Linked DNA regions of Canis lupus familiaris. The protein of the gene in region 3 interacts with the protein of the main gene of each other region in a pairwise test. Links are inferred from orthologs where the notes say so. Each region holds a gene or a part of one and is shown on either strand. Other genes may lie near its edges.

Evidence for each region.
Region 1: the proteins of RBPMS (region 3) and keratin-associated protein 19-7-like interact in binary tests that used the Homo sapiens proteins (3 or more experiments, as listed by UniProt). The two-hybrid records come from large-scale screens. The link is inferred for Canis lupus familiaris from reciprocal best matches to the Homo sapiens genes RBPMS and KRTAP19-7.
Region 2: the proteins of RBPMS (region 3) and GSE1 interact in binary tests that used the Homo sapiens proteins (3 or more experiments, as listed by UniProt). The link is inferred for Canis lupus familiaris from reciprocal best matches to the Homo sapiens genes RBPMS and GSE1.
Region 4: the proteins of RBPMS (region 3) and EXOSC1 interact in a two-hybrid assay, tested with the Homo sapiens proteins (2 studies listed by BioGRID). The link is inferred for Canis lupus familiaris from reciprocal best matches to the Homo sapiens genes RBPMS and EXOSC1.
Region 5: the proteins of RBPMS (region 3) and C5H11orf87 interact in binary tests that used the Homo sapiens proteins (3 or more experiments, as listed by UniProt). The two-hybrid records come from large-scale screens. The link is inferred for Canis lupus familiaris from reciprocal best matches to the Homo sapiens genes RBPMS and C11orf87.
Region 6: the proteins of RBPMS (region 3) and PHF1 interact in binary tests that used the Homo sapiens proteins (3 or more experiments, as listed by UniProt). The two-hybrid records come from large-scale screens. The link is inferred for Canis lupus familiaris from reciprocal best matches to the Homo sapiens genes RBPMS and PHF1.
Region 7: the proteins of RBPMS (region 3) and POGZ interact in binary tests that used the Homo sapiens proteins (3 or more experiments, as listed by UniProt). The two-hybrid records come from large-scale screens. The link is inferred for Canis lupus familiaris from reciprocal best matches to the Homo sapiens genes RBPMS and POGZ.

Annotation. Positions count from the first base shown.
Region 1 is NC_049252.1:25,888,098-25,890,012, reverse strand, and holds keratin-associated protein 19-7-like, read left to right. Parts: upstream 1-1,229; coding exon 1,230-1,415; downstream 1,416-1,915. UniProt on the Homo sapiens protein: In the hair cortex, hair keratin intermediate filaments are embedded in an interfilamentous matrix, consisting of hair keratin-associated proteins (KRTAP), which are essential for the formation of a rigid and resistant hair shaft through their extensive disulfide bond cross-linking with abundant cysteine residues of hair keratins.
Region 2 is NC_049226.1:67,907,270-67,911,558, reverse strand, and holds the start of GSE1 (genetic suppressor element 1), read left to right. Parts: upstream 1-1,489; 5' UTR 1,490-1,587; coding exon 1,588-2,913; intron 2,914-4,289.
Region 3 is NC_049237.1:34,777,312-34,781,418, reverse strand, and holds the start of RBPMS (RNA-binding protein with multiple splicing), read left to right. Parts: upstream 1-1,307; 5' UTR 1,308-1,589; intron 1,590-1,687; 5' UTR 1,688-1,826; intron 1,827-2,913; 5' UTR 2,914-3,169; coding exon 3,170-3,235; intron 3,236-3,700; exon of another isoform or gene 3,701-3,715; coding exon of another isoform or gene 3,716-3,739; intron 3,740-4,107.
Region 4 is NC_049249.1:10,920,242-10,924,309, reverse strand, and holds the start of EXOSC1 (exosome complex component CSL4), read left to right. Parts: upstream 1-1,268; 5' UTR 1,269-1,295; coding exon 1,296-1,362; intron 1,363-1,469; coding exon 1,470-1,585; intron 1,586-1,632; exon of another isoform or gene 1,633-1,950; intron 1,951-3,694; coding exon 3,695-3,769; intron 3,770-4,068. UniProt on the Homo sapiens protein: Non-catalytic component of the RNA exosome complex which has 3'->5' exoribonuclease activity and participates in a multitude of cellular RNA processing and degradation events.
Region 5 is NC_049226.1:23,323,554-23,327,553, forward strand, and holds the start of C5H11orf87 (uncharacterized protein C11orf87 homolog), read right to left. Parts: upstream 2,801-4,000; 5' UTR 2,608-2,800; intron 2,150-2,607; exon of another isoform or gene 2,143-2,149; 5' UTR 2,049-2,142; coding exon 1,924-2,048; intron 1,577-1,923; coding exon 721-1,576; 3' UTR 1-720.
Region 6 is NC_049233.1:2,998,893-3,003,151, reverse strand, and holds the start of PHF1 (PHD finger protein 1), read right to left. Parts: upstream 2,801-4,259; 5' UTR 2,672-2,800; intron 1,954-2,671; 5' UTR 1,935-1,953; coding exon 1,776-1,934; intron 1,684-1,775; coding exon 1,602-1,683; intron 1,494-1,601; coding exon 1,398-1,493; intron 968-1,397; coding exon 867-967; intron 774-866; coding exon 625-773; intron 425-624; coding exon 329-424; intron 152-328; coding exon 83-151; intron 1-82. Other genes in the region: kinesin-like protein KIFC1, read right to left, coding at 4,065-4,109. UniProt on the Homo sapiens protein: Polycomb group (PcG) that specifically binds histone H3 trimethylated at 'Lys-36' (H3K36me3) and recruits the PRC2 complex. Involved in DNA damage response and is recruited at double-strand breaks (DSBs).
Region 7 is NC_049238.1:61,167,856-61,171,900, reverse strand, and holds the start of POGZ (pogo transposable element with ZNF domain), read left to right. Parts: upstream 1-1,245; 5' UTR 1,246-1,426; intron 1,427-3,726; 5' UTR 3,727-3,837; intron 3,838-4,045. UniProt on the Homo sapiens protein: Plays a role in mitotic cell cycle progression and is involved in kinetochore assembly and mitotic sister chromatid cohesion.

The DNA.
Region 1 (1,915 bases), on a different chromosome or scaffold from region 3:
GATGCTGTGTTCTTTTGAATATGTAATTAGAGCCAAAACCATTTCCCCACCTCATACTTATACCTGGTTGGAGTAATGATTCATGGAGGAAGAAAGTTGGGTGGTGTTTTGAATGAGATTTGAAAAAGATCTAAGATAAATGGATAAATGATGAAGGCAGAGAAAGAGGGGGAAATGATGTAGGAAGCCAAATGTAATCTGCATTTGTGGTAGCAGTGAGACTAGAATGTATTATAGAGAAAGCACTCAGGATATATATTTTAAAAAAGTACTGTGGGAAGACTTCTCACAAGATGGATTTTTGATCAGAGTGATAGTCTTTCCACTAGTGATTACAATTCTGCAATGTATGTATTTATTTATTAAAGATTTTATTTATTCATGAGAGACACAGGGAGAGAGGCAGAGACATAGGCAGAGGGAGAAGCAGGCTCCCTAGGGGAACCTGATGTGGGACTTGATCCTGGGACCTTGGGATCACGAACTGAGTCAAAGGCAGATGCTTCACCACTGATCCACCCAGGTGCCCCTGCTATGTATTTGAACCAAAATAAGTATGTTGTATTTAAAGCCAAAATTAAATCTATTAATTGTACATGCCCCAAATTTTAAAACTCTAGAAATCAGGTGAGCTTTTGTGGTTGTTGTTTCCTGGTACACGTGGCAGGTGAACTAAATCTGTCTTGACTTAAAATATTCTTTTATATTCTAAAGAGAGGTGCATCATTTGCTTCTCATGATACAAAATACATGCGTGCCTTGTGAAGAAATTGGTAAGCTTAAGGGACTTGATTTTAATTATTTTTTGCTATTTTGTAGAACTAATTACAACAACCCTCAAATGCCAGTGATGAGAAGATATTTAATTAGAAATTCAACAATATTTAATGTAACTGATGTCAAGTGACTGGCATTCGAGTACTCTATTCAGGGTTTGGTATGTCAATACTTTGAAGAAACATCAAATCATTCTAAGAAGATTATAGCAGCAAGCTCTGCTCTACAACCTAACTATGTAGCCAAGCAGGTTTAGGCATTCTTGTAAGTGTGGTCGGGGGACCACAGATTAATACGTTGGGTCAGGCAAATATAATTCATGGAATGACACCAAAGGAGGGGCACATGTTTTGTCACATTCTCTGATCAGAGTATATATGCCTCCTTGTAAAGATGTCGACATTCACACTCTGACTCTTGCATTCAACCGCCAACTCACCACCCTTGACACCATGAGCTACTACGGCAACTACTATGGAGGCCTGGGCTATGGCTGTGGAGGCTTCGGTGGCCTGGGCTGTGGCAGTGGCTGGGGATGTGGCAGCTTCCCGAGACTGGGCTGGGGCTGGGGAGGCTACAGATATGGCTGCGACCGCCCACTGTGCTATGGAGGATATGGATTCTCTACCTTCTACTAAACATACTGTTGAAATTGAATGCAAAGAGAAAGCCTCCACATTTATTTGGTCCTATTTTTGTAGTTCGATTCCCAAAACATCTATCCTATATTCTCCAGGACGAATCAATAGCTATTTATCAATGGTTAAACTGCTTCTACAAATATTTGGTGCTTTTTACCTCCAGAACCCATCATCTTAAATGAATATTCAATACGTGAAACTGTCCCAGTTTGTGTCCTCATTTTGGTTTACTTCTCTTGCCACCATTATCATAATGTTATCTTTCTAGAAGACCTTGAAGAAAATTTGTATTTTTGCTTTTGTCCAATAAAATGATTACTCGAAATCTAAATAGCCTGGTTTTGTTTGATGTTTTGATGTCTTGATTTTTATTATTTTAACATCTTCTTTTGCAACAGATATAAAAAATTAGCTTATGAAGCTGCAAGGTCTGTGGCTATTGGTTATAGAGTATGATGCAACAATTTCTAGTTCACCACATTATACAAGCTTGAGAA
Region 2 (4,289 bases), on a different chromosome or scaffold from region 3:
GCGACTCCGGGCGGGACACGGAATAGATAGAGGAGCCGGCGAGCCATTGTGCGCAGCCCGGGCGGCGGGGAGGGGGGGGAGGGGGAGGAGGGGAGGAGGGGAGGGAGGGAGGGAGGGAGGGCCGCGGGGGCGGGGCGGGGCGGGGCGCCGCGGCGGGCGGGCGGGCGGGCGGGCGCGCGGGGGAGGGATTCCCCGCCCCCGCCCCCGCCCCCGCCCCCGCCCCCGCCCCTCCGCGCGCCGCCCGCCGCCCCGCCCCCTCCTCCCCAATTAAATGACCCCACGCTTTGGCAGGCGCCGGAGCTCGCACATGCGGCCGCCGCTCCAGCCGCCCGGGGCCCGCCGCCGCCGCCGCCGCCGCCGCCGCCGCCGCCGCTGCGTTCCGGGCGCGCTCGGCGCGGCGCCGCCGGGGGCTCGGCAGGCCGGGGGGGCGCCCCTGCGAGCGGCCGTGCGCCCCCGCCCGCGCCCGCTGCCCGCCGCCAAACTTCGCGGCGCGCTCATGCCCCAAGTTGGGCGCGGCGGCGGCGGCGGGCGCTGAGGGCGGCGCGGGGCGCGGGGCGCGGGGCGCGGGGCGCGGGGGGCGGACGCGGCGCGGCCATGAGCGGGCGGCCGGCGCCGCTCTCCCGCAAGCAGCGGCTCATGGCAGCCGTGGGCGAGCGGGCGGCGGCGGGCGGCGGGGCCGGCGGGGGCGGGGGCGGGGGCGGGGGCGGCGGGGCCGGCGGGGCCGGCGGGGGCGCGCCGCTCTCCTGCTTCATCTGCGGCGGCGGCATCGGGCGCGGCAAGGAGCTGAAGCTGCAGGTGAAGCAGCCGGCGGCGGGCGCGGGGGCCGCGGCGCAGCCCTTCTTCCCGTTCCTGCAGCAGCAGGAGCCGGCGCCCGGCGCGCGCGAGCTGTGCCCGGCCGACGGCTGCGTGCTGGTGTGCGCCGTGTGCCGCTGCTTCCTGGGCGAGCAGTGGGCCGCGTTCGAGCGCGCCCGCACGCCGGTGGACAAGCGCATGTACTGGCTCAAGCGGCCGCACCAGTGCGAGGCGGGCGCGGGCGCGGGCGCGGGCGCGGGCGGGCGGCGCGGGGCGGCCGGGGGCCCCCGCGAGTGGAACGTCGCCTACGCGCTGGGCGGCGCGGCCGACGAGGCGCGGGACTCGGAGCTGTCGGAGCTGTCGGACGCCGACCCCCTCTCCGAGGGCGAGCCCGCCGCGCGCGACGCCGCCAGCCCCCGCCGGGACGGGGCGCCGGCGGCCGGGGGTCCCCCGGGGCCCGGCGCTCGCGGGGGCCGCGGCCAGGAGTGGAGGCCGGCGCCGGGGCCGCCCCCGGGACCCCCCGCGGGGCCGGGCGGCGCGCGGGAGGACGGGGCGCCCCCCTCGAAGCAGCGCGGGGACGCGGAGCCGCGGAGCGGGCCCCGGCGGCGGCGGAAGGCGGCCGGGCGGCACTGGGGCCCCGAGGCCCGCGCCAGCGTCCTCAGGGGCATCACGGACCCGTGGCGAGGCGCCCCCGGCCAGGGGGCCCCCGCCGACGGCGCCAAGGGAGGCCCTCCCGGCAGGGCCCCCAAGGGCCCCGAGAGCAGGCCGGCTGCGGACGCCCGCGGGAGCTACTGCATGTCGGAGGACAGCGACATCAACATCACCAGCGAGGAGGAGGACCGCAAGGAGCAGCCTCTCTCGGGCCCCAGAGACAAGGAGAGCGGCGGCTGCGTCCCCTGGGGCTCGCTGGCGAGCCGGGCGGCGCCACCGGAGGGCCTTTGCTGCTACATCTGCGGGTCGGCCCTGGCCCCGGCCTCGCAGCACCAGATCCACGTGCAGAAGCAGGAGAAGCTGGCCCAGGCCCCCTTCTTCCCCTTCCTGTGGCTGCACAGCCCCCCTCCGGGGGCCCAGCCCATCAGCGACGGAGGCAGCACCCTGGTGTGCCCGTGCTGCTTCTCCTCCCTCATGCAGCAGTGGCAGAGCTTCGAGCTGGCCAACGTGCCCGTCCTGCAGCGACTGTACGTCGTGCCTCTGAACAGCCACGCCCCCGGCATGGCCTCCAAGGGCCGGAGGCTCCCAAGGGAAGACGGCCCGCCTGCGGGGGCCCTGCCCGAGGCCTGCTACCTCTGCGGGGAGGACTGTACCCAGGACGCCCGGGCCGTGGCCTTCAGGATTCTCAACGGCAGCGCCCGGGGCTCCATGCATTTCCCCTTCCTCAGCCTCCTGCCCTGTCCCCCCAACGCCCGGGGCCCCAACAAGCGTTGCGAGGTCCGAAGCTGCCCCAAGTGCTTCAGCGTCCTGGAGGACGTCTGGGCCCTGTACCGGGCCTGCCAGAACGAGGAGCTTATCACCTCCGTGCAAGGCTTCCTGGGCAGGTACCACCAGGCCTTCTCCGCCTCGGAGCCCGCTCTCTGCGAGCCGCCTGCACCGGCCCGGGGCAGCCCGGCATCTGTCTGCTACATCTGTGGGGCCGAGCTGGGCCCTGGGAAGGAGTTCCAGCTCAACGTGAACCCCTCCAGCCGCCTGGGCGAGAAGGAGCCCTTCTTCCCGTTCCTCACCGTTTACCCGCCCGCCCCCCGTGCCAGGCCCGCCGACTCCACCGGCCTCGTGGCCACCTGTGTGCTCTGCTACCACGACCTGCTGGGCCAGTGGCTGCAGCACGAGGCCCGCAGCGCCCACCACACCGTCAGCGCCTGGTCTCGCCAGTACCAAGTGGAGACGTTCGTGTGCTTCTTTTGCCAGCAGGAGAAGAAGCGCTGTCTCGGACTCAAGGCCCTGCGGCTGGCGCGGCTGCCCTTGTTTCTCTATACCCTGCGAGCAAGCCACAGCCTGCTGGTGGACGATGGGCGGCAGCTGATCATCGGCGCCTGTGTGGAGTGTGGGACCCTGGTGTGTGCTGGCCCGGGGCTCGCCCGCCAGGGGTCCGTGGGTTGGAGCTCCCCAGTGGCAGCGGCGATGAAGGTAAGTCCTGGTTTTCTCTTCAGCCTCCGGTGATTTGAGTAGGAGAGGAAGACATGTTACTTTCTGTTCCTCTGCTGGGGAAGTGTTTGTACTGATTCCGTGTGATCTGTTCCAGAAGGAGCTTCCCTCCTGGGGTCACCGGGCCGGCGGCGCCTGGGGAGGGCGCTCGAGGTGGGGGTGCTGACTGAGCTGGGAGTCATGTGGAGCTGGGGGCACCTGGAGCGGGCTTGTGGAAGAGCAGGGCACTGCTGAACGCATCAGGCCTGGGCCTGAACTTGAGTGTGTGTGCAGCGGAGTCCGTCAAACAGAGGAAGTTCGGGGCACGTCTGTCATCCGCCTGATAACATTGGTAATTAGTCCGGCCATGCAGGTCACTGGGAGGTCTGTGCACTTACCCGGTTGGAAATGCAGCGGAGGTGGCAGTTCCTCTCCGTGCTGGCGCTGGCACCGCTTCGCTCCTGCAGTTTTCCCCCAAGTTCACACTTTTCCTCTGAGGCTCTCCGGTTGCTTCACAGCAGATGGAAACAGATTTTCAGACGTGGGGGTTTGGGACCCGGGGGACAGTGGCCTAAACAGACTTTCCCCCTGATGGGAAGAGAGGCTTTCTTCTCTGCAACTCAGCTGTGCAGGAGGGGGGGCGGCAGAGAGGCGGGGGGGTGTGTGTGGTGGCTGGCGTGTGCCCTGTTTATAAGGCGCCTGCCTTCACGCTGCCTGCCCGGGAGGAGCCAGACGGGCCTCAGTTAATTTTGGATTAGGCTTTGCAAGGGCCAGGACAGGACCTGCCTGCAGTGGGTCTGGGGAAATAGGTGTTTGTGAGTCGGGATCACCATGTACGGTGATGGCTACGGCGGGGGGGGAGGGGGGGGGGGGGTGTCGGGGAGGGGGCGGTGTCGTGAATCCTCATCGCCTGGAGGCCTGGTTTATTATAATCAGATGCCTGTAGTGGGAGCCACCAGCGAGGGGCCCCGCAGAGGGCCCCGTGGATGGGGAAGAGCGGCTCGGGCTTGTTCAGGAATGATTGTTGCATCTATTTGGAAGGATGGAATCCCCGTGTGTGGAATTCCTGGCTTATGCGTTCACTCTCAGGGGAGGTTGCATCTGTAAAGTGGGCGCACTGTCCCGCTTCCCTCCAGTGCTTGCCCTATGCTCTGCTCTGCCCAGGCTTTCTTCATGCTCTGCCCAGGCTTTCTTAATCTGCCAGTGTCCCTTTTGGACCATAGAGATGTAACTGGGGGCTTTGGTAGTGGTCCTCTTCTTCTAAATGGATGCATGTCTCATTCCCCCCCTGTGGGTACTGGACTTCTCATTTGCAGCCTGTGGTAGTCCAGTCTGTGGGGTCTGCTGCTGGGAGTCTGAAGAAGTGCTGTTTCCAGAAG
Region 3 (4,107 bases):
CATGACCTGAGCCAAAAACAGATGCTCAACCACTGAGCCATCCAAATACCTGCAATTTTATTTATTTTTGAAATCTCATCAGTTGTCTCATTCTGAGCAAGCTCTCTATCTAGGTGGGTCTCCCCTGCAAAATAATGCCTAAAGACTACTACCATGAATCTGCCTAGTGTCCTTGTGGTGGCTCCCTATGCTGAGACACTTCCACTTATTCAGTCCCTCCTGCAGGGGCTTTGTAAAGATGTGATGTCATTCAAGGCTGAAAATCAATCTCTGATAAGACTGTGTTCATTTATTCAAAAATATTCACCGAGAGCCTACTATGTGTTAGGCACTGTCTAGATATTGGGGACACAACGATCAAATCAGACAAAGATCTTCTTCTAGCCCTTATTTTTTTTTTTTTATGCCAGATGTCTTTGACTTTTAACAATGGACAAAGTGCTGGCAAAAGAATCAGGTTCTACATTTGGAATTAGGCCACATTTCCCTGGACGGAGGTAGCAGCAGCATCCTGGAATCATACAGCACCTTCCACCGACTTGTAAGTGGAGTCTGACTGGAATCATCAATGACTAGATCAACTGTCACTTTTCTTGGGCCTTTGCCAGGCTCCAGCAAGACAATATCTTTCTGTGGAGTGTATTCAGTACCTGGCAATGGCCCAGGAGGGCAAAGGGCCTGTGTTTATTGGTGGCGCAGGGGCCCAAGACCACCACGCAGCCATTGCTCAGGAACACATTGCCCCCTCGTGGTTCTTTACGTAATTGAGGGAGGGACTGGGATTGGAAAGGCTCTCCAAATTTCCAGATTAATCGTGGTGGCCTTTGCCTCTTCTGAACTTCCATTGCAAGTTCAACAGTTTCTTGGTTTATTTTCATCCAGGATACGCTTTCCCCCCACCCCCCCCACAGAGGCACATGACATCCTGACAGCAATTAAACCTATTTATCAAAAGCTTCAGACTTCCCCCACCCCCAACCCAAGAAAACCCCAGTAAGTGAATGCAAGAATTACCACTCTGTTTTTCTTCACAACGCTCGTCACACAAGTATTTTCTCTGCTTTCTGCTATTTGAACCAGGATCGCTGATCATGTGGCCATGGAGTTGTTTTGGGTGTCTCGTCTCCACAACACCAGTTAAAACTCCCTAGAAGCAGGAGCCTTATCTTCACCCCCACCTCCACCCCACCCCCAGCAGCACTTAAACCAGTACAGGGTGAAGAATGTCTGGCGGGGAGGGGGGAGAGCAGAGAAAGATAAACAGTGAAGCGAGCAAATAAATAGAAGTTGTGATTGGTACTGTGCTGGAAAGGAACAGCATGTCGTGTGAGAGAATTCCTGGGCGTGGGAAGTGAGGGAGAATCTTCTGATAGAGGCCCTTTTAAATTTATGTGTTTATGATACAGGAATGGAGAAGCTCTCTATGGCCCCGGGAAAATGGAAATTTCCTTAATAATAATGCTAGTTTCCCTGTTCTGTAAACTTACACCGGGCAGGAATGAGTGCTGGGTGCTCTAGCTCTACCAACCTATAATCTCCTCTAATTACAACCCCCCTGGGAGGTAACTATAACTACTCCCATTTCGCAGGTGAGGAAACGGAACCCAGGCAGTCCTCTGGCGCGTGGTGCTTAAACAGGTACTGGGTGCCCCCCTCCCAGAATGCTGAGCCCTTTTTCTTCCTTAAGGGGCTTTGACCCTCCGAAGATCATCTGGGTTGGCCTCCAGCTCGGCTCGCCGTGAGCAACAGTCACTTAGCCAACAAGTATTTATTGAGTGCCTACTGTATACCCGGTAGCGTATTTAACTAGCCGTGGGATTATCAAGGTAAACAAGGACACGGTGAGGCTGGCGTTGCGTTGTGGGGAGGCTCCCCCGGAAGGGTGAGGGAGGCAGGCAGGTAAGCAATTCCAGGACGGTCTGCTGAGGGCCGAGAGAGGGGCCTGAGCAGAGGGGGGCGCGAAGCCTAGCAGAGGGCGAAGGCCGGGGCTGAGAGCCTGGGAGGGCCCGGCGTGGGAGGTGGGTTTGAAGCTGCGCCCTGGAAACGCCGGCCCCGAGCCGGCTGCCCCCGGACCTCGCTCGTTCTCTCGCATCCTGTCATTTCGAGCTGCCAAGTAGGAAGGGAGGAAATAGGTCTGAGCCGGTGCTGCAGAGGCAGGGCAGGCTGAGCGACGGGGGCGCGATCCCCACGGCGGTAGCCCACGGCGCGTCCCGGGCGTCGCGCGGGCCCGGCCCGGCGCCCCGAAGCCCCTCTCCAAGCGGGCGCGCACCGCCGCGCGAGCTCGCCAGCTCCGGGGGCCCCCGGGGGCCGGGGAAGCGGGAGGACCTGGCCTCCCTCCCTCGTCCGCCTCGGCCCCTGCCCTCCGACCTCCCGCCGAGTCGGGGGGCTGGGGTCGGCCGCTTCCGCCCGCCGCCCCCCGCCCCTCCCCGGCGCGCGCCATCCGGCCGCGGGCGGCCCCTCCTCCCGAGGGGGGCTTCTGCGTCCCGCGTCCCGTCCCTCCGGGCTGAAGCTGGCAGCCCACGTCTAGGGAGGGCGGAGGGAGGAGGAGGAGGAGGGGGAGGGGGAGGAGAGAGGGGAGGGAGGAGGGCGAGAGAAAGGGAGCTGCTTGGATCCCGTACTTCTCAGAGCCTGCCTGGAGCGCGCACTCAGCGGCTCTCCGGGTCCCAGCGTCCCAGCCGCGCCCCGCACCTCCTCCTCCTCCTCCTCCTCCTCCTCCTCCTCTTCCTCGGGTCTGGGCACCCCTCGCCCCCTCCCTCCGGCCCCCGCCAGGCTCGGGCAGCGGCCGCCCCCAGCCCCGACGCGGCCACATCCCCAACTCTCTGGGCTCCCTCCTGGGACGCGCGCCCGCGCCCCATCCTTTCTTCCTTCCTTCCTTCCTTCCCTCGCGCCCGCCCGCCCGCCCGCGCTCTCCAGGTCTCCCTCCCGGTCCCGATTGTCTCCGTCCCCGCCGGCCCGCGCCTCGCCCTGCCCCGTGTCTCCCGCGCACTTCCTGGGTCGCCTCGCCTCGCCTCGCCGCGGAGCCCGAGCCGCCGCTGCCCCGGCTCCAGCCCCCGCAGCCCGCGGCGCCCGCCCGAGGGAGCCCCGGCGCCCGGGGAAGGGACAAGCGGGCGAGCGCGCCCTCGCCCCAGCCCCGCGCCCCAGCCCTGCCCGGCGAGGAAGGACCGGGAAGATGAACAACGGCGGCAAAGCCGAGAAGGAGAACACCCCGAGCGAGGCCAACCTTCAGGAGGAAGAGGTACCGGGGGGCTCGCTGCGGCGGGGGCACGACCTGGGCGCCGCAGTCCGGGGTCTGGGCACGGCCCTCGCCGCGACCTGTGGCCCCGGGCCGGGGGGGGGGCGGCGGGGGGGGTCTCTTCGCAGAGCGCGTTTCTAAAGTTGCGTAACTTTGAGGACTTTTCGGAGTTTGCTAAGTATAATGCTCAGCTTTGTCTGCGTGGGATTTTAAAAGCGGAATCGAGAGCTGACTCCCGGGTGACCTCCGGTTCCTGGGACCCAGAGGGTCGGGACCGAGTCTGCGACCGGGGCTGGGAGTGGGGGGTGTTTGTGCGTGCGGCGTGAGGAAGGAAGGAACTCGGGGAAAGTTCTCGGCGGGGAGACACCTTCAGTTCCCTGCCCCCTCCCCCTCCCTTTTCAGTGTTAAAAGTTCTCGGTGCGATCTCTTTCCAGCTGAGGCATTCTGGATTAATAGATAACTCATCAGCTGCATTCTTCTCTGATGAGTCAAAGACCTCGAATCTGGGTGATTAGGGTTTGTAAATTTTAGGGGCGATGCGGCTGGGGTGGGGTGGGGGAAGCCGAATAAAAGAGTTTGAGAGTTTACAACTCGCCAAGAGATCATCTTGGCTGTTTTAATAGCACTTTGACTCCTGAGCGTGAATTTTATGTGGTGCGTCCGTAACAAAGTTAAAAACGTTGCGGCGGCGGAGCGTTCCTTGGGGTAGAAACCCCATTTATCCGTGGGAGGGAACACCTGAACGGACGGTTTCAGAATTTTGTAGTTAGGATATTTGTGGTATTCTTTCAAGTGGCTTTGTTCCTGCAGGTATGTTACCTGGAGTCCAAGAAACAGTACATGTTTCGCCTGCTTTTTAAGTTCTCCCATAGCTG
Region 4 (4,068 bases), on a different chromosome or scaffold from region 3:
TTGAACATAGAGTCCCTGATTTCTCAGGAAATTGAGTTAAAACAGAACTCAAAAAAAAAAAAAAATTGTGTGTATGTGTGTTGGGGTGGGGAATGGAGAATCAGGGCAAAGCAGAGCTTCACTATCACCCCAAGCGCAAGCCTTTAGCACTGATCCCTCAGTAGCAACCACAGGCCATAGTGACATATGCCACCAGATTAGATGGGATTGAAGGCCACAGCACTCCCCTCTTTCCAAGGCTCTAAGTCACCATCTGTTTTCCTAGGGGAAACGATTGGTGAGGGCTGGAGGGTTTGCACAGGAGGGGACATATGCCAAAGTCACCAGAGGGCAAGAGAAACTAAGATGAAAGTCGTAGCAAATCTCATATGGACAAAGATGCTGTTCTCGGGATGTCTGCCTATCTTAAGCAGTAGCTGTCACTCATCGGTAAGAGCAGCATTCTACTCACGTGCAGACTTCCCTTCCGGACTAACATGCTCGAAAAAGAAAAAGTTATGAATGGGCCCACACGACCTGAGCTCCGCTTGAGAGGATCCGACTGCAAGACCTGAAGCTGCAGTCACAAAAATCCGGAAAAGGCTTTATTTCTGAATGGGGTGGTGTGGTCAAAGTGCGATAGAAGAAGTAAAAAAAAAAAAAAAAAAAAAAAAAAACCTTGGGTTCCGGTTTGGGCTCTACCTTGAACTGTCTTTGAGCCACTGGACAAGTCAAATCCTGTCTCTGGATCTGAGTTTCCAAATCTCTACAATGGGCAAGTTGGGTTGGCTAACCTCCTTCCAGCTCCAAGCGTTACAGCTGCCCCGAGAGTGCACTCCCCCAGGCTTGTGCAGGGCACGGCCGTGCAGGGCGCGACAACGAGAGAACAGGAACCTGAGCTCACGAAAAGGCCCCAAACAGGCCCCGACCCTACAAAAAAGGGCAGGACTGGGGAGCAAAGGCCGCGGCTCCGCTCTTACCTGCCGCCTGCCGACTCCCCAGTCAGCCAAATGGAACCCCGCAGCCTCCGCCGCCGCTCACTGCCACCCCCGCCAGCTCTGCAACCCGGCCGGGCCGGTCTCAGTCCAACCAACCATCGCCGGCCACCCGAAGAACCAGCCTGCAGACTGGGACCCGCTGCCAGCCCATCCTGGACCACAGGCGCAAGCGCAGGCGTCCCGGAGCCCCGCCCCCGCCCTGGTCCCGGAGCAACCTGGGAAATAAAGTTTGACGGAGGAGGTGCTCCCGAAGACCACGTGATAATTCGCACCAATTGGCGCGTTTCTTACTGCAGAACTGCTCCTGAACTTTGGCCAATGAGAAGCCGACTTCGTTTCCCTCCAGTGGCAGTCATGGCGCCGCCCGTGAGGTACTGCATCCCGGGTAAGTGTGCGGGGACCGAAGCGAATTCTGGATGGGACAGGGAGGCAGGAAGGCTGCATGACCGACACCCTCTGAAGACCCATGACTGATGCAGCGTTTCTCTTCAGGCGAACGTCTGTGTAACTTGGAGGAGGGCAGCCCGGGCAGCGGCACTTATACTCGCCACGGCTACATCTTTTCGTCGCTTGCTGGCTGCCTGACGAAGAGCAGCGAGAATGGCGCGGTAAAGGGGGCTGCTTCCCATTTCCTCCTTCTCTGCTTTTCTTTTAGGCTGCTTTTGATTTCGCGGTCGATAGGAAAGGGCACTGCGGACGCGTCTTTAGGACCTCAGCAGAACAGCTGGTCTCCGAGTTTCTTCCAGCTGAGGTCTCCACTGCTGGGCACCTCGCCACCACAGGCCAGATGTGGTCCCGCTTGATTCTGTTGCTGACATTCGGGGAAGGAAGTTAGGGGACGAGCAGAGGCGGGTTCCGCCTGCAGTGAGCTGAATCTTGTCCGGATGTCGCCTCCCTTTCTGGTTTCATCTTGCTCCGCTATTCCCACCCCACTCTGCAGTCTAGTCACACAGGCTTCTTTGTCGCTGGTGGGGTAAGCTCTCTTCTGCCACAGAACGATGAACACGCTGTTTGTCACGCGCCCATCTCCTCCTTAGCCTCTTTAATTCCCACCTACTTTTCAGATGGCCTCTCTAGTGTCACTTTTATCAGAGTAGCCCTCCTAGACCCACTAGTCAGGGAAAGGAGTTTTGTGAGCTTTTATTTTTCGTTTTGTTAAACTCTCACAAAGAACTAAATTTCTTTCCTCTGTGTGCTCTTCTTTGCATAAAATTAAGCATTCGGTTACCTGTTCCTCCTAGACTCTTCCCTTATTAGACTCTAAGTTCCACGAAAACAAACCTTGCCACCATACCTTTAGTGCTGAGCACAGCAGCCTATGCTCAATAAATGTTTGTTGAATGCTTAACACTGATCCAGGATTAGCCCAGGATCGGATAAACAGTCTTTGAAGGACCCCCTTAAAGACAGGGAGCATTAATAGAGAATTCAGAATTAGAACATTTAGGTACTGGCTAACTAGACCTTGTTTCTGCTTTAGGTTAGAAACTTGATCTCTCTGGTTTTAGTTTTTGCTCAGATGTAAAATGAAAGACTTTTTAATCAATTTTAAGACTGTAACAGTTCTAAGTTTGTTCGTTTCATAGAAATAGATATCTATTGAGCATTTTCATGTGCCAGGCACAATCTTTACCTCTAAAGATATGGTAATGAGCCAAATACACATGATCCCTGCTACCAAGGGACACAGACATAAATTACAAACAAGTAAAGGTTCAAATTGGTTTATGGCTACAAAAGTCATGACTGTTTTTGAAAGAATATTACAGGTTACCATGAGAACATGTAAAGGACAAACCCATTGTAGTCAACAGAAGTGATGTTTAACCTGAATCTAAAGGATAAAGAAGAGTTGAGTGGGGAAAAAAAAAAAAAAAAAAGAGTTGAGTGGAGAGCACAGTCCTGGGAGAAAGAACAGGTTGAACACAAATCCTGAGATGGGAACATGTTTAGTGCGTTAGTGAAACTGAATGAAGGTCCGAAAACTGAAGCATAGGAAACAAGGAAGAGGCAAGTAAAAGATGAGGTTCAAAATATGTCTTGGGGTGCCTGGGTGGCTCAGTTGGTTGAGCGTCCGATTCCGGATATCAGCTCCGGTCATGATCTCAGGGTCCTGGGATTAAGTCCGGTGTCAGTGCCCCCTCCCCCCCTCAGTGGGGAATCTGCTTGAGATTCTCTCCCTCCCTCTCCCCACTTGCGCATGCTTTCTCTCTCTCTCTGAAATAAATCTTTAAAAAATACATATTTTATACCAATAGCCAATACCATGCTCAAAGGGAAAGCTACAAGTATTCCCTTAAAATAGAAAAAAATAAAGTATGGCCATTATTATATAACATTTATTTGGAAATTCTAGCCAGTACAATAGAGTGAAAATCAGAAGGAAGTAGTAGAACTTTGAAGAGAAGAGTCAAGTTATCCACAATTGATTATATACCAAGAAATTCCAAGAAAACCACAAAAAGAAAACTTGTTAGAACTGTTCTGAAATGATTAGATTATGTCTTCTGGTAGCATCTTTCTTTTGAAAAATGGCCCCTTGACCTTCCTATTTGCCTTAAATTTCTAAGACTGTCTGCCCTGGGCACATATGAGTCTGTAGTCCATCTGTGCTTGTGATCTCAGCTGTGGACCAAAGCATTCCTACATTATTCTTAAGCCAGATACCTTTATGGAAGGCTTAGTCAGGATCTCACATTTTATTGTTCTGTCTATAGCTTCCTGTGATTTCTGTGATGAGAGAAACAGAATCTCAATTGCTACCAGATGTGGGGACTATTGTAACCTGTAAGGTAAGTAGGTCTTAACCTCCCTTCTTAGGACACCTGTTCAATGGTGAAATCATGATCATTGTGGAAGTGCTCTGTCTTATGTGGCAGTCACTAGCCATATGTGGCCATTTAATTGAAATGAATTAAAATTGAAAGTTCATTTCCTCCATCTCACTAGCTACATTCCAAGTGCTCACGTATAGTTGACAGCTGCCTTGTTGGCCAGCACAGAACATTTTAATCATCACAGTGTTACTGGACTGTGCCGGCCTAGAAAGTTCTGGGATAGTGATCAAGGCAGCCAAGTTCAAGCATGCGTA
Region 5 (4,000 bases), on a different chromosome or scaffold from region 3:
GGAAAAAGGAATGGTTAACTAAGGGGTGAGAAAGAGGGCTGACCAGAGACCAGTACATGTCATACACGTTTGTCTGGGACTGTCTCTGTGGCCTCTTGTAGTTCTGGTGCTTAATGTAGACATTTTCTTTAAAATGTACTATTGCCTGAGCCCGGCGGAAGGTGGGAATGGGGAAGGAGGGAAGCTGAAGGAAAAGTGAAAGCTTGGGTGGGGGTGGGGGGAGATGGAAGGAAGGGAAGGTAACTGAACCTTAACTTGACAGCTATGTACAACACACCGGGCCCCCTCCACTCCCTTTGCTCCAGGAATCAATGCCTCTTTTATATTTGGTAGCTTGTGCGGTTTCTCCTCCTTATTGTGTGTGTGTGTGGGGGGGGTGCAGGGTGGAGAGGGAAGACGCATCCTTCATTGACAATGAGAAATTATGTGATTTGTCATGCGCTTGGATTGTGTTATTAGTATTATAATAATTACTATAAATATTAATAATAAAGTATTATCAGCGTTATTTCTTCTTCCGAGACTTTCCTCGCCCAATATTTACAAATACCGCACAGTGCCTCGGCGGAGGAGAAACAGAGTAAGGGGAGGGCAGAGACGGAAAGAAGGAAAAAGAGAGGGAGGCCAGAGAAAAGTGGAAGAGGAAAGATGGAGGGGGAGAAAGCAAGGACGGCAAAGATGCTGGAGATGAGGAAGGGGAGGGAAGAGGGGGCTAAATGATCAGGACAGTACCACCGTTTGCAAAAGGCCCTCGCCAGCTGTGTCCAAACAGGAGGAGGCTGCTTGTGCTCCTTGCGGACTGGGGGCGGGTGGTGGAGCCGGAGGAGCACAGGGACCCTGGCACGGGAGGCCAGGGGACAGAGACGAAGAGGAGGCGTCGGAGGGGGTGCAGAAGGCAAAGTCCCGGGGCTGCCTCTCCAGCCGGGTTTCTTTGGCTTGGGCTGGGGCCTGGCCGCCCGCCGGGGGCAGCCCCCTGCCGCCGCGATTGCTGCTGCAGTGATCCCGCTCGTACTCCTCCTGAGCCCTCTGCATCTTCCGCTTCTTCATCCTGCGCTTGTGGATGTGGAAGGTGGAGAGGGACAGCACGATGAGGCAGAAGATGAGGGTGACCAGGACGATCAGCACCAGCGTGGAGGAGAAGGACTGGAAGAGCTGCTGTCCCACCTGCGTGATGCAGGTGCCGCCTCCGCTGGCGCCTGTACCCGGGCCGCGGGCACTGGCGTTGCCGCTGCCGCTGGCGTTGGGGGAAGCAAAGGTCCGGTTGAGGAGACACGGCGGCAGCGCCAGCCTCAGCTCCTTGGGCGCCCGGGCACTCATCGGCGCTGGGCTGGGAGGGGCCGGGCCCACCAGACTTCCTCTCTCAGGCACACGGTTCCCACCAGCCAAGAAGAGGACGGAGCCCACGCCACCCAGAACTACTCCCTGGTGCGGGAGGGGATGCGCGCGCGGGCGAAGGGCCGAGGGAGCAGCCGCGGGCGAGCAAGCCGGCGGGGAAGCGAGCGGCGCCCGGGAGATCCTCGCCGACCCCGCCTGGAACGCGTGTCCGCGCGCCCTCTTCCTTTCCCAAGGCACCAGGCTGCAGAGAGAACAGGCTCAGTTAGGATCCCGGCCGCTGCCCGGGGGGGCGCGGAGGGCCGAAGGCGCGGCCCCCGGGCACCCCGCGTCCGCCGGGCGCTGCCCGCCTGCTCCGCAGCCGCCGACCCCGCCCGCCCCCGGCCGCGCGCCCTCGCCCCCCGCTGGCAAGGGGTCTGCGCCCGCCCCGCCGAGAGCCAGATTACTCAGCAGATGAGGCAGCTCCCGGCGCCCCCACAACTTTCTAATCGCAACAGACACGCCGCCGCCCCGGAACGCGGTCCCTGCCGCCCGAGCCCCGCTCTCCCCCTTCCTTCGCCCTCCCGGTGGATGTCTCCCCCTGGATCCTACCTTCCCGGCACCCACCCCGGCCGCCGGGCGAGCGGGCTCCGGGTACGCAGTCCTGCCTGCTCCTCCCTCCCCCTCCAGACTCTTCTTCCCTGGCCGGCTTCAGAGCCCTCAAGTCCCATTCCCATGGGGGCACCACAGCAACCACATCCTACTCCGCCTCTGTCCGTGGCCGCGGCTGCCGCGCTGGATCGCGCTCCATCCTTTCTTCTGCCTCCTTCCCTGGTACCTCCCCCCACACACACCAGGAAAAAAAAAAAAAAAAAGGCAGCTGAAACACCTTTTTCTCAGCTAAAGCACGTCCCCGCAAACGCCCCCTTCTCTCCGTCTCCCTGTGCCCCGCACTCGGCAGTATCCTGCTTCTTTCTAGGGGGACGGGAAACGGAAGGCAGAGGGTTCTCGTTCGCAAAGTTTGGGGAACGGACCTCCCCTCCAGCCTTCCCAGCCCCAGCCGAGGCTCTGTGCGGGGACCCGAGCCGGGTAGACCCGCAGCGCGCAGCACAGCCCCTCGCCCGCCCTTCTCCAGAGGCAGCTGCAAACTGTTGCACTGCGGAGCAGAGGGGAGGCGCGCGAGCCGGGGCCGGGCCGGGTGGGGGCCGAGGCTGCCGCGGGGGGGCCTGCGCAGGCCGCCCCTCTCGCGCCCCGCCACCCGGCAGCTGGGACCTTTAGCGGCACCGCGTCCCTTACCTGGGCCACTAGCTGGCTGCAGGGAGGGAGCCCCCGCCGCGCGGCTGCAGTGGCGGCTGCAGAAGGCGCGGAGTGAAGGGGCCGGCGACCGAGCCCGGCTGCCGCTGCCGCTGCCGCCGCCGCTTCGGGGAGCTCAGCTCGCAGCCTATTGCCAGAGAGGCCGGTGACGTCAGGCAGCCACCGCTAGGGCTCCAAGCCACCCCTCGGGCCCCCACCCCACCCTCATACCCCAACATCTCGTCCTGGCAGAGTGAGCCTCTGCCACACGCATTCCTAGTTCCCTGTCCTTCCCCTGCCAGGGGCTACATGCGAGGAGCAACCCCCACCGTGGCACCGGGAGCAGCCCACCTCTGCACTCCTATGCCTCGGAAGGAGGAAGCCCTGCCCTCAACCCTTTTCCACATGGTCCCAGGAACACGTTTTTACACCCCAGAGAGCCATCTCCCCCCCCCCCCCCCCCCCCCGGGTACACATTTGATTCCTCTCTCTCTCTCTCTCTCTCTCTCCTCGGCTGATGAGGATTGTTCTCCTCTGCAAGCCTGTCTATGCTGGCCTGGTTCTGTACGGAAACTGCGTGAATATGAGAAATGAGAAGGGCATTTCTGAACGCGTGTGGCAGAGCATAAAATACAAACCTGAACACGTATTTAGTCACGAACAATGCAAATTAACCGTTTTCCTCTCCACCAGAGTCTTCAACTTACCTCTCACTCCACCTGACTCATGTTTCTCCTCTACTCACTCACACACTCATCTTCAGGCCCAAAACCCACTCCATATATTCAACATTCATTCTCTTTTAATGTGTGCTTTGTGTGCTCTCGTGAGCACACAAAGCACACACAAGGCTTATAAGACAGGAAGGCAAAAACAACTCAGAGGAGTACAGAAATAAACTGTCCTATGAAAATTTTGAGTGTACCCCTTACTTTGCCGTAGTGTTAACAATAGCCTTTCAGCGAAACAGATAGAACTTCCTGCAAGATTCTCATCAGCCTGCCTAAATCTAGGCAGAGATTAATCAACTCTTGCTTTAGGGCCTTTGGAAATACATGAACAGTACATCGGGTTACAGTAGGCAACTTTAAAATGAAGTATTCTCATTTTTATATAGGAGGAACCAGCTTGGAATAGCCCGTAAAGACACTGTATGATCTTAGGAAACATTCCATTGTCTTATAAAATGTGCCCTTCCTTCTTCTCTCACTGTCTCGTTTTCTTCCCATCTTTGAGTCTAACATATTTACTTGCAAAATTGAGTGGTGCAGTAAATATTGCTTTTTGCTGCTCTGCATCCAAACTGGGAGACAGCAGGGATGACCAACACCTCCCTATCTGCCTGCTAGTAGACGGTTTTATAAAAAAGAGGGTTTGACACAGGGAGCAAAAGTTT
Region 6 (4,259 bases), on a different chromosome or scaffold from region 3:
GTCAATACAAAAGCCTGGAGAGCCCAAGGTGGGAGGCTGGGGGTGCTGAGAGAGGAGCCATGTGGAGGTGGTGCCCACTCACCAGCGAAGCTGTAGCCTCCTGACCTTCTCAGGGCCACCCCGACACACACAGCATTCGAACTCGTAGAACCTGGAAGTGGGCGAGGGGGAGAGAGCGTGGAGGACTTATGAATAAGGATGGGGTGCGTAGGGGAGGTGAGCTTCAGAGGCTGGGGAGACATGGAGCTGAAGCAGCATGGGGGCCTGAGAGGGTAGAGCAGGGCAAGAGTATTCTCCCTTGGCTCCCAGAGAGCCAGCCCCATCTCACCTGTCCCCGTAGAGGAGCGGCTTGCTCAGACACTGGGTGCAGGCCTCATGGAACCACTGCAGGCAGCTCTGGCACTGCAACATTTTCAGGTTCCACCTGAGAGGGAACACAGGACTGGTGACCTCCAGACACTGCCCCGACCTGAATGGCCCCAAACCCTACTCACCACCTACTTCTGCTTTCTTCAGCACTCCCTTCATCCTATTTTTTCTCCTTCATTCCCCAGGATCCCCCCACCCACTCCATCATTCATTCCCTCCCCACCACTCCTCCACCCCTGTCCCTCATTTACTCACTCCCCAGGGCCACCACAGTAACAGTAGCTCTGCTGTCGGTTGCTCAGATGTCCAGCGTCCCAGTCTAGCCCCTTTAGTCCATATGGCAGTGACAGCTTCATGCCCAGCATGGCCCGGGCATAGGGGCCCTTCTTCAGTGCACCCCCCCTCTGCAGGGAGGAAACAGGCCACCTCAGACGGGTAGGGAACAGGAAGGCTTGGGAGAGGTGGTGGGGGAGGCTCCCACAGAATGGTGACCTTACCTTGGTGGCAATGGCAAAGACACACTGGCGACAGACCCAGGATGTGCCCTCTCCCTCTCCAGGGGCTGGGGCTCTTGGAACGTGGCAGTCCTGGTGATAAGCTGAATAATGATAATATTGATGGTAGACCATTTATTGCACAATATACCTGTGTGTGCTAGTGACTGGGATAGGAGGAGTCTGGGCCACCTCATTTCATCTTTGACTGTGATCTGGCTGCAGTAGATAAGTTACCCTTATTTTACAGGTGAGGAGACAGGCTCCTAGGGGCTTGGGAATTTGCCCAAGGTTTTATGGTTAGTAAAGGTGTATTTGAACCATCCTCTGTCTACAAAGCCCACACCTCCTGATTCCATGGCTATTTCTCCCTGTGCTGGAAGAGAGGTTACAGAGTTGAGCAGACTGGCCAGAGCAGTGGCTTGGGGACTCAGCCAGGACAGGTGGCCTAAGGATCAGTGGTGGAGGGAAGACTTAGAGGCAGCCTGGAAGGTTCAGGGCAAGCTAGACCATTTAGGTATCCTGCCCTCTCACCGTGGCGACACTTCTCACAGCTGACCAGCCGGTTTCCAGGGACCACAGTCTCAGAGCGACAGACACAGCAGAGGAGTTCCTCCCCGGGGAGGGCAGCTGTGAGGGAACAGTGTTGTGGGGCCTGTCCTTAAGCCCCCTTTACATCCCCCAAGCCAGGTTTCTGCTTTCCACAGCATGCATATATTTGGGCCTCTAAGGTCTCACCAGGGCTAATGTCTTTCCATAGAACCAGAAACTGGGAATCGTCCTCAAACTGGACCAGACACACCTCCCGGGAACTGTCCACCTGGAATGGATGAGCACAGGAGATGAAACAGGAATCGGAACTACATAAGGAGAATGGGGGGAAGGTAATAAGTCAGAAGTCAAAGGTCTTACTTTCTTGATGGTCCCCAAGTATAGCAGTCCATCCGTCCACCTGGCCAGCACATCTTGACCCTCCCAAAGTCGAGGCCTGGGGCCTGAGGTGGGAGCAGGGGAGGCTGGGTCCCAAAGTGGGGGGGCACCAGAGCGGCTCAGCCGGGGGGGCTGTGCCATTGCATCCTGGGGGGGGGGGCTATCCAGAAGTGGGATGGGAGAAGGTTATGAATGTTGAGAAACTGTCCCCATTTTTCTATGCCTCAAGGACTCAAGCAGCTGTGCTACCAGTCTCCAAATATGAAATACCTGGATAGGAAATCACACAGCACCCCTCCCAAGCTTCATGACTCCAGCTTTTCCAACTCTGGTGACTGGCTCTCCTCTCCCTAACACCCCCCACCCCCCAACCTAGTTCTCTAGTTTCCCAGCTTCCAGAGCTCCCCTGGGATACTGTATCCTGGCCTTGAGATTTTAGGAGGAATGATGGTTGCAGAAGCAAAGGTTACCATTCAGTTTCTACTGTCACCTTCTGTTTAGAGATACTGTAATTGGGGTGTTCTGCTACCCAGAGAATGTGTTTTGGGAGCTTTTCTGGAAATGTTTTCCAAATTAGAAACGGCTGCCTCCCCGGGCCCCTGTGTCTCCAGAACAATAATCCCGATGCCAGGTTATGGCAGGTCACCCTCAAATACGGGGCTCCCTGTCCCCCGGGTTAGATAACTTCCTTGAGTGCCCTGGGAGGGGGGCGTGTCCCAGTCCCGGTCTCTACTCCCCAGGACAGCGAGTCCGAGAGGGGACTTGAGTCAGCCCAGCGCGAGCTGATGCCTGGGCGGCGAGGCTCTCCCGCCCGCGCCCTGCGCGCCGACCCCCGGCTCCCTGCCCCCCCCCACGGGCGCCTCCCGCCGCCTCCTTACCAGTGACAGCTGGGGCCGCCGGGAGCCGGGCAGAGGCAGACGTGGGAGACCGAGGCGAACCCCCCGCGCGGGGAGGGCACGTCTGGGCGTCGGAGGGCGGGCAGGCAAGGGCCGGGGGGTCCCCAGGCCCAGCCCCTCCGTCCCGGCAGCTCTGGGGCGTATGACGCAGCAGCCAAAGCAGCGGCAGCGGCAGGAGGAGGCGGCGGGGGGAAGGAGGGGAGGGGAGGGGAGGGACAAACCGGCTCGGGGGGAGGGTAGTGGGAGGGGAGGACTGAGGGGAAGGAGGAGCCGGGGGGGGGGCGGGCACCACCTCACCCCACCTCCCTCACCTCCAACGGGCCTGGAGGGCGCCGAACGGGTGGCGGCCTCCCCACGGCTGGGGCGGGTGGAAAGTCAAGACCCAGTGCGAGAGGGAATCCCTGCAGCCCCTTCCTCGGAGGGAGATCCGCCCTCGGGGCAGCAGGGAATCCCCCCCTTCCCCGCAGCTGGTCTCCAGCCTGGCCCCCGCCCCATGCCACATCCGTTAACTGCCCCCCCAACCTCCATGGTCACTCCAAGTCCCGCCCCTCGGCCCCAGTTCACGACCCCGCCCCCCATTCACCCGTCCCGTCGCCCCCGCCACGCCCTCCTCCCTCGAGTGCCCCGCCTTCCTCCCGCCTTTGCCCCGGCCCCGCCCTCCCCGTGGTAAGTCTCCCCCCGCCACACCGCCGCCGCGCTTCTGCGCATGCGTGACCCCTCCCGCGCGCGGCACCTGGGTGGACCGAGCCCCTCCTTTGCCGGGCGGTGGCCGTTGGCGGTTGGCGCGAGCGAGTCAGCGGGCGTGCAGCCCACCCAGCGCCTGTAGGGCGGGTACACGGACCGGGAGAGCTAGTAGCGAGGCGGTAACGCCGCCGAGAGCCAGCCAATGGGCAGCGGGCGGGCCGGCCCCAGTTCTTCGAATGGGACGGCAAGGAAAGAGCGGGAGGGAGAGCCCGCAGTTTGCAGGAGGGCTCGCTGGCCCGGCCTCTGGACTCGGGCTTCCACTTTCCCGCACCCACCAGACGAGCTCTCCGCGTGGAGCTGGGTGGCCTGCGGCAAACCAGTGACGGCGGTCGGCCAGTGGGCACATCTCCTAGAGGCGGACAACCAGGGTAACCATCTAGTCTCCAGGAGATAGCCAGGTAGAGAAAAGCTGAAACCCTTGCTCTGCAAAACACAAATACTCGGCAGAGTAGACGATCCACAGTTCCCATTTTTACAGATACGGGCCATTGTTAACAAAACCTTTATTTAAAGAAAAAAAACTTGTTCTTTATTTGATAGACCCAGGTCACAGAGCGCCCCTCCCCCCAACAAAGCATCCTTCAGCGCCACCCCCACCCCCCCTTCCCAAACAGAGGATCTGGATCTGTCTTCATTTCCTGTTAGCCTGGGCCGTACCAATAACACACTGGTTCACCTGCGGGCAGAGGTTTTAGAATAAAAATATTTTGTGAGTAACCAAAATAACAGTTTTCTCCAAGATCACCCCCCACCCCCAATATTGGGGCTGCCCTCAGAAAATACTAAAACAAAGGCTCTGAAGGCAGATTCAGCCTGGTCTCAGTTA
Region 7 (4,045 bases), on a different chromosome or scaffold from region 3:
AAATGACACTTTGAGATCATTCACATGTACTTAGTATGAAATGAGATGAAGTGGAATGAAAATGGACGGCATTGTGTACACACAGGTGCATGAGGGAGCAATTTGTAATGCCTAATTCCATCGCCTATTTTCAGTCTGGTGGTTGAATAAAGTGCACATATATAAAAAAATGAATAAATATGGTTCTGATTCTCCCCAATCTTGCACAAAGTACTTTGATCTACATTGGCTTGGAGTAAATATTTGTGTATTGCTTAGAGAGCAACAACATACTCACATATCCAAGGAAAATTTTACAATATTATCATCTCTGAAAGTAAAAAAAGGACTAAATTTCTTAGATACCTGGAAAAGAGGTACTTCTTGTTCGGGGAAAAATTACAGGTGGCTGGTCTTGAATAGACTCCTTTCTTTGAGCCAATCCCCCTCAGCCTTGATCGGAGCAAAAAGCACAGATGTAGAATCTATGGTTTCTTAGAATTGAGGATTTGTGCCGAGTCTATTGACAAACGGCTTCAAAGCAGTTTCCATACATGAGTCACTTTGATAAGCAATATATGTGATTTATTTCCAGAATCCAGTAGGGTTCAGAGTAAAAATAGCTTTTAAAAGTTCTTCACTTAAGACTACTGCCACAAGGCTACTTGGCCAAATGCCTCCTGATGAAGAGTATGTGCCATTCTGCTGCCTTTGTTCCAAGGACAGTTGTTGGTGCCATTGGGTCTCACCACCTGGCCTGTGGCATGAGGTTCTCCTCTTGGTTAGGTACAAGACTTGAGTGGAAAGTGAGGAGGTGCCCAAAATTTCTTTGGAAAGTCCAGGCAAGTGAATTGGGCACTATTTTCCTTGGAAATTCCATTTTCCTCATCAAGATTTAGCTGTTGCTTCTGAAGCTAATTATTCTTATTTCATTTTTCTTAAATGTTTTTTATTTATTTATTTATTTATTTATTTATTTATTTGCAGGTCCAGACAAACTTGACTGGAAAAGAAGCCCGGGCAGGGGTTAGGATGAGCCCATGACGTGTCCCACGCCGCAGCCAATTGCGAGGCCACGAGAGGGGGAGGGCGGAAGTGACGAGACGTATCCCTCCGCGGAGCGAGAGGGTCGGTGGGGGGAGTCGGCGTCTCTCTCCCCCGCGCCAGCTCCCGTACACGGAGCCGCATTCCTTGGCCCCCCCACCCCCTCCCTCGGGGCCCCCCCGCCCCCCTCGGGAAAAAAATCCACCCCAAGTCACTGGAACCCGAGGGAGGTTTCCTTTCCCCCGCGGGGAGACGCGCTCTCCACGGTTCCCTCTCAGCCGTCTCCCCAAGCCCCCGTCCCCTCCCCTGCTCCCACCCCCTTCTCCCGGCGCCGGGTGCGAGGTCCCTTTAAGGCGACGGCGCCTTCCTCGGGTCAGACTACCGGCGGCGACGACCACGGGAGGTGAGTAAGCGAGCGGGCGAGCCTTCTTTCTCCCCACCCCCTTCTCCCGGGGGTTCCGTTATCTTTTCGCTCGGCGAGGCGCTCGGAGGCGAGACAATGAGAGGGGGATGGGGCGGGGGCGCGGGGGGTGGGGGCAGGGGCCCGGTGGCGCGCGCCCCTGCTCCCCGCGAGTGCAGCGCGGCCCGGGCGGCGGCGGCGGGCATGGGGCGCGGCTCGCGAGCGCGTGCGCCCCCGGAGCCGCGGGAGCTCGGGAGCCGCGCGACGGTCTGGGCCGGGCGGACCCTGCCTGCCTGCCTGCCTGCCTGCCGCCCGCCCCCGCCCCCCGGCGTCCTCCGCGGCGCGCGCGCGCGCACTCGCGCCCCACGGCCCCGCACACACCGACGTCCACACGCACGCCGGGCGCGAGGCGTCTCGGAGGAGTGGGCGGGCGGCGGGCGGTGGCCCGCGGGGAGGGGGAGGGGGAGGGGGAGGGGGCGGGCGGCTGCGAGTCGGCGGGCGGGGGGCGAGGCCGCGCCGAGGTGACGTCCCGGGGGGAGCGCTCGCTTCTCCCGCCGCGCCCTCCCGCCTCCCTAGGACTGGGGCGCTGTTCGGGCGCGAGGAGGAAAATGAGGGGTCGCTGTGCCGCTCCCTTGTGTTACGTAATCGCCGCTCGGTCCACTAGTACCTCCCAAGCCGTAGTGCGCTGCAGTTAGTTTACCAAGTCTCCTCCCTTGGCCCTAAAATTTCTCTGCGTTGGCGCCGTGATTTGTAAAATGGAATGGGGCGGAAAACCTTTCTTTCGGCTGATTATATCCTGCCGCGGTGGGCGCCATGTTCCTCCCGGGGACTATTTTGTCTAGATTCTCAGCACCTCCTGGGGAGGACTGATGTCGTTGATCCACCTGCCTCCCCTCCTTTCTGCCACTGACCCTGTTTTCCTCTCCCGCCAGACGCGGGATTCCTCCACGCTGTTCCTAACTGTGGACATAGCTCAGCTCACTTGTCTTGGGCCTTCTTTAGCCCAGAAAAAGAGATGGGAAGAGGCTTGGAAGTCAGTTGGCCCCATCTCCTCTCTGAGATGCACACGGGAAGACAATTTTACCATCTCAGAACCACCACCTTGTTGCGGGTTGTAGCTCAGCCTTCTACATTCTAGACACCTCCCACTGCAGTTCAAAACCCTGCAGAAATGGAGTTTTACTTTCAAAGGAGTTTCCCCATCTAGTTGGAGGGGAAAGAGCGGGGCAGAGAGGGCTGCTCCTTGGTGAACAACATTGAATTTCCAGACCATGATGTGTTGTTCTTGGGACCGGGAGTTGGACTCTGAATTCGAACTCGTTCTCTAGATCTTTAAGTTCGGGATAGCTAAAAAGTACCTTGGAGGTTGCTGAAAGTGCTGTGTTAGGGGCTTCGTCCTCAAGTCTTTTCAGGTGGGAAGGGGAGGGTGTGTGTGGTGCTATCTTCTCTAAATTTTAACCGCCACATAAAGAACTGTTGATTTAGCGTAAAAGTGCTCAAAATACAATCTTAAAACAATTTCATGGCAAATTACGTCCTTGATTTCCTTCCCCTTATACTACGGTTATGACACACCGGTCACGTTGGTGATGTATCTCAAACTAAAGGAACTAAGAAGATGAAGACTCTTGGGATGAACAGGATTTTGTTCGTTTCCACCCCAACCTTGAACCAGTGATATAATCTTGGAAAAGGTGACCCACTGACCTCTGGGGATCATTCAGAGCCTTCCAGGGGACCTGAGAGGTCATAACTATTTTCAAAGTAGAAAATACTAAGACACTATTTATCTTTCTTCCAGTGACATTTGCACTGATGGTCCAAAAAGCAAAGCTGAGTAAAACTGGTGGTCCGTTAGCACAAAGCAAGGCAGTTACACGAAACACCGTGTGAAAATGGCCTTGATGAAACAGTAGAAATGATTTTTGTTAAATCTCAACCCTTGGGTACATGGTTTTTTTAAGTTTTAAGAATCTTTGATCGAATAGGAAGGATGCATAAAGTACTTTGCTGACTAAGGAGGTACGGTCCTTCTCATAAGGAAAAGCGCTTGTGAGATTGAGTTATGAGCTGCTTGTTTCATGGAACAGCATTTTCACTTGAAAGAACTGACAAACTACAGTTTTTCACACTTTAAGGTTGCGCTTATATTTTCTTGACAACGAGGCGAGCATGTTATTTTGAGGAAACAATTGACAGTATTTGTTACCAATGATAAAAATTTGAGAGTGAAAATTAGAATTTGTCAAAAGTTGACATCTCAGGTTTAACAGTTTAAATATTTTCTATATTTATATTTGTAGTGAAATATGTCAACATTTGGAGGATGGGCATCGCAGTAAATCTATATTTTCCAAGCAACCAATGCTGATATTTCACAATCATCATAAGTAAATATCCTTTCAGAATGCAAGGTACACTAGTGGATTTTAATGTAATAAAATATGAAAAGTTCATTGATAGGGATTCAGATTCCAAGATGCAACTCTTCTTTAAGAAACTACCATTTGGGGACGCCTGGGTGGCTCAGTGGTTGAGCATCTGCCTTTGGCTCAGGGCATGATCCCAGTTTAAGGATCGAGTCCCACATCGAGATCCCTGTGAGGAGCTTGCTTCTCCCTC